3 linked regions of the Ovis aries genome follow. The protein of the gene in region 3 purifies or fractionates together with the protein of the main gene of each other region. This does not show direct contact. Links are inferred from orthologs where the notes say so. Each region holds a gene or a part of one and is shown on either strand. Other genes may lie near its edges.

Region 1 (5,332 bases), on a different chromosome or scaffold from region 3:
TCGTGAGACAGTGGAAATAGGACCAAAGGTTTTTTGGAATCCAGCGGACAAAAGCATAAAAAACAAGCTCATCACTTCACTTTTTTACTCGACAGTTCTTAAATATGTGATTCCATTTTGCAGACGAGAAGCAGCAGTGTCTAGCACATGTAAAAAGCAGTGTCCAGCACAAAACAAGCAGTCTCCTCCTCTTCTCCAACTGCTCTAACCCTCATCGTTATTTCTGACTTGGGGCCCTCAAGTTTAATGCAGTAACCAGCTTGGTCAAGGTCTCTGGAAAAAGTAGCATTCACACCAGAGACAGACAATTGGCAGCCTCACTCCTTACCCCTTGGAAATAATGGAATCTGGGGCTCAGAGAGCCCCAGTTCCTCTCACAGTCCGAAAGGCAACTGTTCCTGAAGTACTCAATCCCTAGACCTCAGGATTCTGAGGACTAAAAAGAAGAGGGCTGAACCTTTAGTTCCCTTTGAGACTTGATACATAGTCTACAAAATGTAGCTAGCTCTGTAGTATTCCGTATAAACCAATTATATATACAAACAATGTACATACATGTGCGTTACTATTTGCCTAGCGAACATCGGTAAAAAAAAAAAAATACTGCTTATTATCAGATTAGCCTAAGAGGCCATGCAATTGTAATGCCTTGGTTTGCTTAACCAATCCCTTACCTTCTTCTAGAGGGCTTTAGGCTCCACCTTGACTTTCCTCGGAGCTCAAGTTCTTTCCCGCCCACACCCCCAGCCACGGTGTTGTACCTTAAGGAAAGCAAACCACAACCCGGGAAGAGGGACATTTTTATCTCCCTTCTGTCCCCTGGTGTGTTTCAGGCAACTATACGAGTGCTCCGAAGGCCGACGTAAATACGGCGGGAGTGAGACTGGGAGGGAAGCGGGCAACCATAGATCAAAGTTTTCCGGTCAGACACTCCCCCATTCCCCACCCAGTGGTCGCCTTGTTGACTACATATCCACTCCCATGACTATGAGTCATAAGATCAGGAGGCTCCGGGATGCTGACCACGGCTCTGGAAACGGGAGAGGGGCCGGGGAGACGGCAGGTCACTGCAGGCCAGCCTACTATCGACGATCTCGCACCAAGTCGCATCAGCTTTAGAGCACGAACACGTGCACCCCTCCAAAGCGAAGCCTCGCGCTCCTGGAGAATCGGCCTCCTGCTCAGCCCCTGATGGTCACGCTGGGAAGAACATAGAGTCCTCCCTCCCAAATGGCTATCTAGTTCTCCCTGGGACCATAAAGACTTCCGGTCTAGAGCGGAGGCCTGGCTAGCCTTCACTCTCCTCGTTGGCTGCTCGTGGTTTCTAGTCCAGGACCGAGTTAAACAAAGAGGCGGAGTTTGGTGACGGGCTTCCGCCGGGTTGCGTAGCAGCGGTGGGCGGGGCAAAGGTTCCGTCCCACACGGCGGAGAGTGGTCGGAACCCTCTCGCGTCTTCTTCCCTTTCCCCTTCCCCTCCCAGAAAAGGCTGGGGACCCGGCACTCGGGCTGTCTCTCGGCCGCTGCGGGTACAGAGTCCAGACCGCTTCCAGGGCGGTGCGTACGGCGCCTGCGCGCGATCCCACTTAAAGGGAGGGTGTGGGAGGGAGGGGGCGATGTCCCAGGGGGATTGAGGCGGGGGTTCGAGATATTGGAGGTCAGGAGAAGGGATGAGAGTAAAGATGAAAAATGGAGGAAGGGAGCAGCAATAGGGAGGAGTCCAGAGGTGATAAAGGGGCGCCGGAGGGTGGGTTGTTGGGGTGATCCATTGGAATGGGGGAGCCTTAAAAAGTGCAGGAGGGGGCCTGGGCTGGCCGGAGGACAGGGAGGAGGGGACTTGAGGGAACAGCGTGGTGTTTAAATAGGCAATGATTGACAGGCCGGGAGCGGAGGGAGGGAACATTCTGAGGGCCAGCCTGGGCAGGGGCCGCGGAACCTGAACCCCCGCCCTCGAAGCGCCATAGCTTGGCTCCTCTCCCATGCCTTGTCTTTGGCAGCCTTGTCTTCCTCCTCCATTCCTTCCCCTCTCTCCCTCCCACCCCTCTATGTAGGAATCTCACATTCCTTACATCCCTGCCCTGGGTTTGCAGCCGGTCCCTCTTCACAGGCTTCACACACCGGAAAGCCTTCTCCAAGCCAGAACGCAGAGGAAATTGAGGACTGGGAAGGAGGGAGCTGGAGAAGGAGCAGAAAGCTGAGAGGGGTGAGAGTGTTTCTCTTGAGGGACTGACAGGCATCTTCATTCAGAAACTGACTTCGTTCCATCTAGTAGCAAATGCAGCTGTTAATGAGACCACTGAACCACTGTTCTTGGGGACTGGACTGTGATAGTCTAATCCCTTCCCGTACAGGTGGTTTTAGTCTGACAATAGAGCAAGAAGCTGATATTGTTGCAGGCTGCTAGTTTTCCCCAGATAGGGATGGTAGGGAATCTGAGTGATGCAATAATGTTACTGCCCTGTGTGTCCAGCCGACTTTGTGGCTGCACCTGGATAGAAAAGAAGAAACAAGCTTCTTTCAAGTATATCCTCATGGACCCTCGGAACTCTAAATTTATTTTGCATTCTATTGCTACAAATACCTCATGGTGTTTGTACTAATAGTGGTATGAATAGTAGTATTCAGTATGCTTTCATATTTATTATGTCATTTGATTTTCCTGGACAATATGTAAGATAGATAAGTCAGTTATCATTTTCCCTGCTTGACAGGTGAAGAAACTGAAAACTGCAGAAGGGATACATGGCTTGTTAAAAGTCGGACAGCTGGCAGAGCAGGGACCAGAATCCAGGTCTCCTGACTCCAGGTGCCCCTTTGTGTTGAAAAACCCTGTTTTGTTCTGGTCAAGAGAGTTGTGAGAGGAGATATTTTTTCCCAGGATGGACAGCTGTTAGCCTGGAACTTGTCTCTAAAAGACTGAACATAGCACTGATTCCTGGAAGCTTTTCTTGGGGTTCAAGGGTGGACACCAGGCTGTTGGGAAATACAGTATTGTCAAAATGGAAGAAGCATTGTACGCTCCTCTGTATTATGGATGGGAGAGACCTATCAACTCCCCGCTACTGCCCCCAACTACAGTGAGGAGAAAGTGGACCTGGCCTGGTACCTTTATCCTCTGATTAGTTTTTAAATACTGCACTAACGTGTTATGGCTGCTGAGCATAGTAAACTAATGAGCCCATGTACCAGACTCCGGATGAGATGGTCTCTGTTTTACGGATAAAAATTGTCATCCTTCCTAACATAGTCCTTAATATTGATCGATGTGAAGGTGAGGAAAGGAATTTGAGTAGTTTCTGTTCTGCCTCTGAAGCTTTGTCTCCCTCTACTTGGTTTCATCCTTTTAGTAATGAGAGTTTGGTCTTCCCAGTTGTCTGTCCTGGAGTAATTTCCTGATTGACTGCCTCTTCATTTTTTTAAAAAAAAGCCTGATCCCTTCAGGAATATTTCCGGACTTGAAAGTAGAATTACACCTACACCAATATTCTCGAGTATCTTCTCCTTGTGAAACAGTATTTTCTGAGTGGACAGTAGGACAGAATTCTTTTTATATGAAATACTTTCTGTGAAAGCACTTTGGAAACACTAAAGCACCATCCTGTGCACGTAAGGCATCATGGCTCTCTGTGTTATGTAGCCACAGCTTTGGATTCGCTGGCATTCCTTGCAGTTGTATGCACTGAATAAAATAATCTTTTCTGTCTCAAACAGCTCCTCTTCCCTGCCTTGCTTCTTGTCCCTTTCTCTCCCCACCTCAGCTGTGTTTGAATCCCTTGGCCCGGGTGTGTGATTCCTTAGCAGATGACCTCACTCCTTACAGAGTAGCCTGTGTGCCTAACCCTGAAACCTGTAGCTCTCAGTGGAGTTGTCTTGTCCTCCTCAACCAACCGTCAGATCCAAGTCTGTCTAGTTTCACTGCCAAGTGCAGGTAGTGCTCCTGACTCACCTTTTTCTTCCTTGTTCCTATTAATAGAGTGCTCCCGATTGTGACATCACATCCATCCCCTTGGCGATGGAGCTTGTTACTAGGAGGGAAGACTCAGTCGGAGAATAGCCAACAAGATGGGTTACTGGGAGCGTCTCCTGAGTGGCACTGAGTGGAGGCATCAGGGGGTCGGAGCCTTGTGAACAGGGAACCTGCCCCCCAACACTTGGAAGGTAAAAAGCATTGATTCAGAACCCCCTTCTGGGCTTCAACCCTCTTCTCTGCTAATCTGGATCCCTTCTGCTCTTGAAAACCTGATTCTCAAAACTCTTTTATGCATAAACTTTTCTGTGATTAACCCACGTCAGTCTTTTCTTCATTGTATACTTATGTCTTACATGAACTATTAACTTTCACTTGTTGATAAATTGTTAAATTTTACTATTTTTTGTATGTTTTATATCTTGTGTGCTCATTGAATTCAAGCCTGCACATTTGTTTGAGGACAAGGATTGTGCTTGCTGTTTCTTTTACATGTCTGTTACATGAAGATGAGATTGGGGTAGCCACACAAATAGTGCTTGGTGCTGATGACCAAGGTGTGTGTGTGGGGGGGTCCTTGCTGATCTTTGAGGCCTGGTGGGCCTCACTCGAGGTGTTAGAGTTGTTAGTTGGGAGTTTTTGAAGGATTGTGTGACCTCTGGATGCTTTTTTATTTATTTATTTTTAAAAAATATTTGTTTATTTGGGTGTGCCGAATCTTAGTTGCAGTATGTGGGATCTAGTTCCCAGACCAGGTATTGAACTCAGGGCCCCTGCATCGGGAGCATGGAGTCTTAGCCACTGGACCACCAAGGAAGTCCCCCTCTGGATTGTCTTTCAAATTTAACCAATTAAAGTGTGCTGAAGAAGCCTGACTTTAAAAATGCCCTGTGCTAAATCTAGTCTGGATCACAGAATTCTGGAATTAAATGGAACCTTAGAGGCAATGAGGAAACTGAGTTCTAAGAGCTCAGTTCTGTAAGAGAGGGAGTGATTTCACTTTAAGGGTTCTATTGCATAGATGAAAAAGACCACTTTCTTTCATTTATAAAGTCAGGAGAGTTGCCTAAAGAGAGCAAGGTCAAAAAGGCCCTCTCATAAAGCCAGGGCACCTTTTATAATATAATTACCCCTAATTTAGCCTATTTTTGTACTTATGTAGAACTTGTATTGTCTTGCATGCATCATTTCATGTGGAGTAAAGGGAACTGAGGCCCAGAGAGGCGAAGTCAGTTGCCCAAGGTTACACACCGCTCGATAATAGAGCTAGAGAGCCACTCAGGTTTCTAGATTGTCAACTCAGTTTTCTTTTTCCACATCTATTTGTTTATTGGGAGACAGGGAGATAAGGTGAAATGTTTTAGGGAC
Region 2 (5,326 bases), on a different chromosome or scaffold from region 3:
AGCCAACTTTTTCACTCTAGCAAATTTACAACTATCCCCAAATAAAAAGTTTGATTAAAAGTAAAAATAACTATAAATGAATTTTTGAAGCAGCAGAATCAGCAGAGAACAGGAGACTATTAAACATGCCCAATAAAATTAGAAATAAGACCAAAATACTCTTGGAAAATAAATATTGTTGAAATTAAGAACTTAAGTGGATGATGTATTGGTTGCCTATTGCTGTTGTAATGAGTTGCCACAAATTTAGTGGCCTAGAGCAACACAGTTTTTATTATGGTTCTGGAGTTCAATAGTCTAAAATGGGTCTCACTGGGCTGAAATCAAAGTGTCAGCAGGACTGTATTCCTTCTGGAGCCCTGCTAGAGAACCCATTTCCTTGTTTTCTGCAGCTTCTAGAAGCCACTCTCAATTTCTTGGCTCATAGCTCCATTCTTCCTCTTCAAAACCAGCAACATCAGAGCCAGTCCTTCTCAAGTTGCTCTCTCTTTTAGCTCTCCTTCTTGGCCTCCCTCTTCCATTTATAAGGACTCCTGTGATTGCATCCAGCCCATACCAATAGACCATGATTAATCTTTCCATCTCAAGGTCAGCTGATTTGCACCCTTAATTCCATCTGCTACTTTAATTCTCCTTTGCCATATTCATAGGTTCCAGGTGTAGGACTTGAACATTATAGGGGGCCTGAAGGGACTATTCCACCTAGTGAAGACCAGTAACACAGCAGATTCAAATAACCACAAAAATAATTGATTAATGGAAAGAACTGAAGAAGTTAACTGAAAGTGCAGCCAGAGAAGCAGGATATAGAAAATGTGAGTATTTAAAAGATATGGAAGATAAAATCCAAAATCCTAGAAGAAAGGACAAATTTTGCAATTTTTCTACCGGAAGTTCATGTAAGGATAAATTTACGTGAAGGAAAATTGGTATCTTTAGCGTCTCTATATTAGGTTTGACAAGTTTGCACGTCTCCCACCAGTGTTACCTTTGCAAAGTTTCACTTTTGAGTTATGAACAAACTTCTCAGAAGGCAGCCTTTTTTGGAAATCTAAATATTCATGAGCATATGGGGTTACATGATTGAATGTATTTTATTCAGTGTGAAACTCATTTATAGCATCGTTACGCCTTATGTAGACCTTCTCCATTTACAATGTTTTAAAAAACACATCTTACTGGGAAATGTATTAGCTAGCATGTTACAAACTCCCTGACAGGTCATCACAGTGTTAACAGTATACAATGTACACCGCCAAGAAGAGATTTAAGGGCAGGAAGAAAACCTTAGATTTTTTAAAAGTCCATATCGAAGTATATGCTCTGTCGTAAAGGTTTGATTGTTTGGAGCTGCTTTTCATCCGGGAGCAAGTGTCACGTGTTAACAGGAGTTTCACGCGGGAGCGCGTGTTCTAACAGGCGTTTCCACCGTCGTGCTTTGAAGCAGCTGCCTCTGGTTGCGGACTCCGGGCTAGCACTTCTAGCGGGACAGGCCTGAGCTCGCAGCGGAAGGGACCGAGCTGGCACCACCAGTAGGCGCTGGGTCACCTCTGGCGAGCTCTCAGGCCTACCCGCGCAGTGGCCTGGCCACTCTGCTGGGGCAGGGACTGCCCCTCCAGGCTGCCCAGGGCCACCTTCTGCGCGCAGCCGCTCCGGGCCGCCCGCGTCCGCCTCGCTCGCCTCGGCCTTTTCGCGCAGGCCGCGGAGGTTCGGGGCGCGGCCGTCGTTACGGCCGTGACAGTTCGCGTTCCCGCCCGCGCGGCGGCTGTTCCTTCCCTGCAGCGGGTGAAGTTGCCGCGCCGCGCGCTCCGGGGTCGGCGCTCCCCAACCTCCGAGTTCCCGCCCGCGCGCTCCCGGCGCACCCGACTCCAGCTCTGGCTCCCCAGTACCGCGAGGTCTCCACACCTGGCTACCAAGTAAGTCCCAGCGCCAGGGGGTGGGTCGCTCGGGGCACACGTTTTCTGGGGGTCCTGGGCGCCGCGGCGGAGGAGGCGGCGCGGAGAGGCGGCGTCCTGCGAGCGGGAGGAATTCAAAGCTGCGCTGGAAGAGCTCCGGGTGGATCAAGGAGGAGAAGAAACCCGGTGTTTGTGGAACCACGAAAGTTCAGGGGGGTGAACTTCAGCGTTAGGGGAATCGTTTATCCCATGGTGGTCCAGACAGAGCATCTCAGTCCTGCCTGCACTGTAGAATCACCTGGGGTGCTTGTAAAATTCAGATGCCCAGGCTGGATCCATCAGAACCCCTGGGGCAGTGGAGGGGGTGGGGGTCTGTATCGTTTACACTTCTCAGCTGATTCCACTGTGTGGGCAGAGTTGAGCACCAACGACCAGAGTGGTTGCCAAGAGAGGGTGGAAAGGCGGGCAGGGGCTTTGATAAGAGTCCAGCCTGCGACAGATCCGGCTGTACCCAGTGTCCCGCGTGGCCCTGGGGAAGGGGCAGTGGCCCTCCCTCTGGTTTCCCGAGACGCAGAGAGGGGAAGTGAGACAAGACTTGGCAGCTTCGCCGGAATACTGCCTGAGCTATGCACACAGTCTTTTGGCATATTGTGAAACACAGAAGCTTTGCCAGATCATGATGCCTCGCTGGTTCTGCTTTCTGGGAAATGCCTCTGTTACTGTCATTTAAAGTTAAATGAAGGGAAGCCAGTAAACCCGTTGACAGCTTCTGGGATTTCTGCTTTAAGGGTGAAGTTAGGTGTGCTTCGGAGAAGGCAATGGCACCCCACTCCAGTACTCTTGCCTGGAGAATCCCATGGACAGAGGAGCCTGGTAGGCTGCAGTCCATGGGGTCGCTGAGAGTCGGACACGTCTGAGCGACTTGAATTTCACTTTTCACTTTTCACTTTCATGAATTGGAGAAGGAAATGGCAGCCCACCCCAGTGTTCTTGCCTGGAGAATCCCAGGGACGGGGGAGCCTGGTGGGCTGGCGTCTGTGGGGTCGCACAGAGTCGGCCACAACTGAAGCGACTTAGCAGCAGCAAGTGCGCTTGCTGCAGGGTCGGGTTTGTATCTGCTAAAAGCCTCCTATCTGAGACTTCCGTATCCAAGGAACTTGGATATTAGGAGTGCACAAAATTTACCCTCTTAGCACCCAAGGGTATGTGCTGGGGGCAGAAAGCGCTAATATCAGCAACCAGGGCCCCTGGACAAGACACAGATTTCTACTGCATGTGTGGGGCAAATAAGAAAGGTGGATTTGAAATAAACAACAGCCTAGGAGAAGAGAGGGCTTCTAGAGGGTCCAAGAAGAGTGGATTGTGGTTTTGCATAATGAAGAGGTTTAAATTCAAGCTTTGGAGCCCATCAAACCCTGGCCCAAATTCAGATTCTGTCACTTCTGTGATACTTGCATGATCTCCCTGAACCCCTATTTTCTTTCTTGTGAAGTGGGAAAAATAGTAGCTCTGTCCTGAATGAGATAATGTGTATCAAATGCCTGGCAGGCCAGGTTGCTGCTCCATCAGTAGCAGTTATTAGCCACTGTAGTGGTGATTTGTGTTCAACAGTTGTTTACTTAGTACAGCCGCAGTGAAGAGAGTGTGCAGCAGTTGTCTCCCTTGAAACTCCATTCCCTTTTTCTTTTCCTGCCTTGCTCTGGAGAGGGGTTTGTACTCCTCCTCGGTCACTGTGTAGTTTAAGGTCTGGAATTTCAGGCCACCAGCCTGTTGCTCAGTAGGGCTTATTAATGGCTCTGGAATACAGTTTTACTCCACGTGATAGGAATGACAAAGTGGTCCTTAAGTTTGAGACTTCCTCTATTCTACTGCAATATATATATATATATATATATATTTTCACACATGCATATATGTATATACATATATACATATGAGCTCCCCTGTAGCCGGGCCATTTACAGGGTTTCAGAATTGACATGGGCACATACACGTGACTTTTGTGCTGTCAGCATCCTTGGGCTGTGCCCCAGTCGTACCTGTTTTGCTACTAACTCTTGGCCTAGGGACAATGAATCCTTCTTAGATGAACAAGAAGTCAGAAATTTGGGGAAGGGAAAACCTACATCCTGCAGTTGGCAGTGGGGGCATCCTGAATCTTTCACCTTAGTTCCACTGTGTGTGTGGATCTTCTGACAGTAACAGCAGCACTGTTTATTTTAGATTAAACAGTAAAAATACTATAAATAATGATTTAATGTTGATATAAAAATCAAGTGCTTTTACAGCACTGTCCCTGATACTTGCCTAATAAGAATCTTAAATTCTTGTCTCCTTTTATAAAAAAAAGTTCAGTATTTATTCAGTATCTAAGACTTAAATTTAGGATTTGAAGTTTAAATTACCAGTTCCTTCTATGATTCTTCTATTTTGGGGGTTTGAGGCAAGATGAAATTTTAAAAGAGAAGATTTATACTTTTGCTGAATTTTTGTCATCTTTTAGGTATCTTGGAGGTTTCTGAAAGTCCTGTTTTCTTTTATCTTTTGGGCAGAGTCAGTTGAATCTCATACAAAGGGCTTCCTTTCATCCATCTATAGACCAAAGTTAGAAGGAAGGAAGGTTGTTTCAAGAAAAATTCTTTGGTGCGTCATTACTCAGTGACGTGTTTCCCCCGCCCCCCAAACTTGGCTCTCCTAGTAAGAGATGAGTAATCACTGCCCATTTCAATTAATTAATGTTTTTTACCCAGTGCTGGAAAGTTTGTCAAAGCAAGACTTTATGGGTTGAATTCTTCTTGTTGTGTTTTATCTAAAACCCACCACAGACCAAACTGTGGGCAGAGACTTTAATGCAAAGTTGGCCAGGACAAGCTTGCCACCCTCCCTCCCCTTAGTCACCCTCCCTGCCTCTGGAGCTGTTGAGTCTAGGATGCTATTACTCTGTGGTGGTCTTTCCTTGGCCCTCTGAAGGGGCATGATGCCCTAACAAGGGATCTGCTTCTATAGAACCAGCAAGGCAATTTTGTGTTAAACTTCCACTTACAGTGCTCTCTAGTAATCTGTTGCATTGTTATTTGTTTTGCTGAGCAGTCATTTTCCTTTAAATTAAACTATAGTTTGAGGTTTCAATTCAACTTCAGTGGCTCTGAGATCAACTGGCCCAGCGAACTCATTGAGAAAGACCCTGATTCTGGGAAAGATTGAAGGCAAAGGAAGAAGAAGGTGGCAGAGGATGAGATGGTTAGAATCACCAACTCAATGGACATGAGTCTGAGCAAACTCCAGGAGAGTGGAGGACAGGAAAGCCTGGTGTGCTGCAGTCCCTGGGGTCACAAAGAGTCAGTCATGACTGAGCAACTGAACTGATGTTGTTGTTCAGTTGCTAAGTTGTATCCAACTCTTTGTGACCCCATAGACTGCAGCACACCAGG
Region 3 (5,232 bases):
GCATCATTATTGTTCCAGCTAACACATACTGTGACTGCCCAGAGTGGCAAAAGTTTTAATTGTTCTGTTAATTCTTGATCGGTTGATAGTAGCTACCTATGAGATACTGTATCTGGCTGGGCTTTTGACAGAATGTTGTAATTTCTTAGGCCTTTGACAAGAGGATAGGAGAGGGCCAGGTAAGCTTGCTTATGTATTTATTGGTTCCATTAACCTCCTGAGCTCTAGATTTAACTTTCAGTTCTTAAAAATTATTGGACAGCTTCACGTTTTCTAGGGATCTTAAATTCTACATGGTCTTTGAATCTTCTCCACATTAGAAGGAGAAAATCAGTGATGGTCAATGTATATCAACTAAGCTCTTCAGAATAAATGAGGTGATAATAATTACCATTTATTGAGTTCTTACTGTAGGCTGGAAACTGCTAAGTGCTTTGCATAGATATTACATTCGATTGTGGACCTTCAAGGGGAGAAGAGGGGATATTGATCCTCTTGCATAGAAAGGCTCCAAGCTTGTTTCCCTGTTATCTTTCCTCCAAATAGCTTGTGATAATAGGTTATTTTATTAAAGATCATGTTTAATTAGAGTTCAGTGACTTTTAAAAAACATTTACTGACACTCAGCATGTTTGTATTTGTAGGAGCTGACTAAGGCTTTGGAGCAGAAACCAGATGATGCACAGTATTACTGTCAAAGAGCTTACTGTCACATTCTTCTTGGGAATTACAGTGGTAACTTTCCTTACAAAGTATATTGTCTCCATAAGTAACTTACACACTTTGCCCAAGATACAGTGAATCAAATAAAATAGAGGTTATCTTCCAGGACTTTTAACTTGATCTTTCATGCAAGGTGAAGTAGCCAAAATATGACAAGCATTATGTTGCGCATCACTCATTTAAATTTTACAGTTGTCCATTCTTTCCGCAGTGGGTGTAGAATTTGTAAGATTTCATTTTTGGTTTTGGATGTGCTAATAAAGGATAGCATCACATTTACTAATTTACAGAGCATTTGAATGAATTCTCTTCTATTTTTTATGAAAAAATGTATTCAATATTCTGTAATTTTAATTATTCTGGATAGATAATCTGAGTAGGGAAAAAGTAAATACCTTGAGTCAAACAATGTGAATGATGTTAACGAAATTATCTGGACTTTGTGATACAGAGCTTTATTCATTAGGAAATGAGGTTGAAGATTTGGTCAATAGGAATGTATGAAGGTAATTTTATCTCAGATTAGCTTTTCTTATTTTAAAGTCATTTGTCCATTTCGCTAGCTTGAAAACTTAAAAATTAATTCAAATTTTGTGTGTAGTATTTCTTAGGATCCATAAGTAACTGACCAAAAAACTTTTTCATCTGCAGATGCTGTTGCTGATGCAAAAAAATCGCTTGAACTTAATCCAAATAGTTCCACTGCTCTGCTGAGAAAGGGGTAGGCAGCAACTACTCTTCCTGTGGGGTCAGGACTATATATAGTTAAATGAATTTATTGTAAGTTCCCCCCCCCAAAATATTTATTTTAGTTGGAAGATAATTACTTTACAATATTGTAATGGTTTTTGCCATACATCAGTATGAATCAGTCATAGGTATACATGTGTCCCCTCATCCTGAACTTACCCTCCCTGTGAACTTTATATAAATAGTAAGCTCTGTGTCTATACATTTTATAGCTGAGATAGGATTCAATTTTTGGTATATTTCATACTTCTGTTTTATTAACTGCAGTATGTAATGAGATACAGTTTGTATGTGTGTGTGTAGTTTAAAATAGTGATGATTGAAGTAACTGCAGGGTATAGATGAAACTGAATGATTTCAAATCCCTTTTTTGTGTCATCATTTGAAATTTACTGTGTTTAACTGACTAGAGAACATCTATTTCTCACCTAAGCTGTACAGACTACACTTAAAGATGACTGTGTCTGTGTCCTTTATATCCCAGCTTGTTTCTATTAATAAGTGTAACTTTATTCTAAGAGTCGGAAGCTTCTTTAATTCCTTAGTGTAACTATATTTTGGAATAAGCAAGTATGTATAATTAATAAATTCCTTCTGAAATGAGTTCCACATTTTTAATGGGAATTAGATGTTACCCTGGTGACTCAGATGGTAAAGAATCTGCCTGCAGTGCAGGAGCCTGGGTTCAATCCTTGGGTGAGGAAGATCCCCTGGAGAAGAAAGTAGCAACCCACTCCAGTATTCCTGCTTGCAAATCCCATGAACAGAGGAGCCTGGCGGGCTACAGTTCATGGAGTCACAAAGAGTCAGACACCACTGAGCGACTGACACACACACAGATGTTACAGTAGAGTATTTTAGAACATCTGTTGGCTTATTAACATGGTTAAATTCTTTTAAAAGAAGAGAAACTTTTTTTTTAAGAAAGAAAGCTATGTTTCATGATCTTATATGTATGTGCTTGTTTTTAATATGCTCATACAGGATATGTGAATACCATGAAAAAAACTATGCTGCTGCTCTAGAAACTTTTACAGAAGGACAGAAATTAAATAGTAAGTATTATAATTATGTTAGTAAACTAGTCCATTATATCTGTGTATCTTAAATACCATAGCTGAATCTTGTTAGTATAATCTAAAGTTAATCATAGAAACACTTTTTTCTCTCTTAATGACATTTCATGTTGATTGCAGAGTTTGAGTTTACTTAAAATTTGATTAAATTGGCCTTTCTTAGCATTTAAGTCACAGAAAAACTTAGAAACAAAAGAACTGTTTAAACACTCGGTGTCCTCCCAGTACTGGTCTGGCTTTTTAGTTTTTCCTAATGGACAAGTGGAAGTTTAACTTGCTCTCACATTCTGAAGTCTATTTAAGTTGTTATTCAGATTGCCGAGATAAGGAAGTCTTAGAAGAAAGATTTTTATTGAGAGGTGAAGTGTAAGTTTGGGTAAAGTATGATAGGGTACAGAAGAAACATGGAACTTTGAGAATATTGTGAATTTCTAAACTGTCTTTTTGAGAAAAATAGATGAAAATTATCCCAACAGTGTGGATATCTATGTATAATATATAGAACTTGTTAAAAGCCAAGTATCAAAAAAAATCTTCAAAATACAAAATGTTGTCAGTAATCTCGTAGATAATTATAGACAACATGGTCTTAATTGTGTTCTCTCATTTTATCTCCCTCTTATGACAGAGTGTTAACCACAGTTCTCTAAGGTGGTAGTTCCTAGCTGGGGATGGTTTTCCTCTGTGGGGGATGTTTGGAGTGTCTGCACTGATTTTTGACTCTCTTGACTGGTAGATGGGAGGTATATCATTGATAGCTCGTGAGGGATGCTGTTCAACATCCTGAACAAGACAGTGCCCACAACAGAAGCATCTGGTCCCAGATGTCAGTAGTGCTGAGGTTGAAAACCCTCATACAAAAGTCATACATGATTATACAATAAAATATATACTGCTTTGAATATTTGCTTTTCTGCTGTGTATCTACTTGAGAAGGGTGACAAGCCCAACTTTGCAAACAAAACCTACAAATTAGGAAAGACGAGATCTAGGCAATAGGAGGTACTCTCAAACTTGGTTATCCCAAGCGTGGTATGTGAATAATAGGGCTATTCAGTTACGAAGTTACCATGTATACACTTCGCAAATTCTAGAGTCCAGTTTTCTTGGTGTCTTGTTACATACTTGAAAACCCTGATGAGACATAAGTCACTTCATGTTTAGATTTCTAAGCCCTATTTCTTTTCTTTTTCTTTTTTTTTTTTAAGAGCAACAGAAAGTTCCCTGCCTAAATTCCTTCCTTGATACTTTATTATCATGCCACTGACTTTTATCCTAGAATTATTTCAGAGGTGGCCTCAGAAGAGGGTGTCTGCTCTTTGGTTTACTTTCTGTTGAGGATATTTAATTTAAAATCAAATTCATCTTTTAATTCCAGGAAAATCTTATGTTAAACTGTTCAGCTTCCGTTTTATTAGGGTAAAAAATTTTTAACTCCATATTACCTTTTTCCCTCTTTATATGATAGGAATCAGCTTATTTACTGATTAGTTTGAATAATCGGTTCTTCACATTTAGAATTTTTATATAAATGTTCACCTCTAAAATGTGTGTGTATGTATTTTAAGGCCTGTATAGTTGAATTCTGTCTGTAAATTAATGAATTAGAAAATTTCATTTTAAGAAATTTTAAACTTGGTGTTTTTCAGAATAACGATACCTGCAGTTAGCTTAAATTAGTAAACTTTTATTATGATCACTTCTAATAATTTTTCTTAACATTATAATTTATTAGATGCTATGACTTTTTAGATACTGTCATTGCCCTGAGTCTTCAGAAATAATTTGCTTATGTACATGTTTGCCTTGCTGTCTGTGCAGTGAACTGTGATTCACTGTATGTAGTGTCAGTGGTTGTCAAGGAACTTGGAGATACTTAGAGATACAAAACTCTGCAGAATATAAAGATGGTTCTTGTTGTTGAAGGCATGATGATAAGTAAAGCTGCTGAAGAAATAGTAGATAGGATAAGCAACTGCGTTAGACAGCAGGCAGGTGGACAGAGGCTTCTGGGGTCCTCCCCCAACTGACTGCATATTAGGAATCTGATTCAGGTGTGATTTTGTTGTGAGAGGAAGCTCTTTTAAGAGGAAAGGGATGAGGAGAAATGGAGATTACTGAATCTAGGAACCAATAAGGTTGACTGGTTAAAACTGATTTTTTACAAGTCAGAATTCTTCGGGATGAACAAAATAAATATTAAACCTAACTAGTAGCTATAATATTAAGGATAGCTACACACTATTAGGACAGATGATTTTGTCTTAACTTACTGTTGGATCCATAGTTTCTAGAACCTTGTTTGTAAGCTAGTAGGTATGCAGTCAGCATTTGTTGAGTGAGTATGTTAGGTTGTGCAGATGAGTGTTGTTATAGTTTGTTCTTTCTAGGTGCAGATGCTGATTTCATTGCTTGGATTAAAAGGTGTCAAGAAGCTCAGAATGGTAAGTGTGCAGATTTCCCATGGTCTTTCAGTTTAAAAAAGTCAATGTCATTTTTTTGTTTTGATCTTTATTACTTATAATTTAAGTAGTGTGTGTTCTATTAGATTGGGATTTCCAAAGGTATTTTGATTTTTTTACCTGGTTCTTTATGTTGAAAGGGAGATTCGAATGGATTTGTTTTGCAATGGTAAGAAATTACTGAGGAGTCTCAAGTGACTCCAGACTGTAAAATTAAACCA

Evidence for each region.
Region 1: the proteins of SUGT1 (region 3) and RNF41 purify together in Homo sapiens (affinity purification with mass spectrometry; 3 studies listed by BioGRID and IntAct, with this or other methods). This does not show direct contact. The link is inferred for Ovis aries from reciprocal best matches to the Homo sapiens genes SUGT1 and RNF41.
Region 2: the proteins of SUGT1 (region 3) and NOD1 purify together in Homo sapiens (affinity purification with western blotting; 3 studies listed by BioGRID and IntAct, with this or other methods). This does not show direct contact. The link is inferred for Ovis aries from reciprocal best matches to the Homo sapiens genes SUGT1 and NOD1.

What each region holds. Positions count from the first base shown.
Region 1 is NC_056056.1:163,320,781-163,326,112, forward strand, and holds the start of RNF41 (E3 ubiquitin-protein ligase NRDP1), read left to right. Parts: upstream 1-1,405; 5' UTR 1,406-1,554; intron 1,555-2,048; exon of another isoform or gene 2,049-2,087; 5' UTR 2,088-2,200; intron 2,201-3,970; 5' UTR 3,971-4,155; intron 4,156-5,332. UniProt on the Homo sapiens protein: Acts as E3 ubiquitin-protein ligase and regulates the degradation of target proteins. Polyubiquitinates MYD88. Negatively regulates MYD88-dependent production of pro-inflammatory cytokines.
Region 2 is NC_056057.1:67,354,515-67,359,840, forward strand, and holds the start of NOD1 (nucleotide-binding oligomerization domain-containing protein 1), read left to right. Parts: upstream 1-1,440; 5' UTR 1,441-1,916; intron 1,917-5,326. UniProt on the Homo sapiens protein: Pattern recognition receptor (PRR) that detects bacterial peptidoglycan fragments and other danger signals and thus participates in both innate and adaptive immune responses.
Region 3 is NC_056063.1:11,514,964-11,520,195, reverse strand, and holds part of SUGT1 (protein SGT1 homolog), read left to right. Parts: intron 1-644; coding exon 645-735; intron 736-1,374; coding exon 1,375-1,444; intron 1,445-2,457; coding exon 2,458-2,528; intron 2,529-4,939; coding exon 4,940-4,993; intron 4,994-5,232. UniProt on the Homo sapiens protein: May play a role in ubiquitination and subsequent proteasomal degradation of target proteins.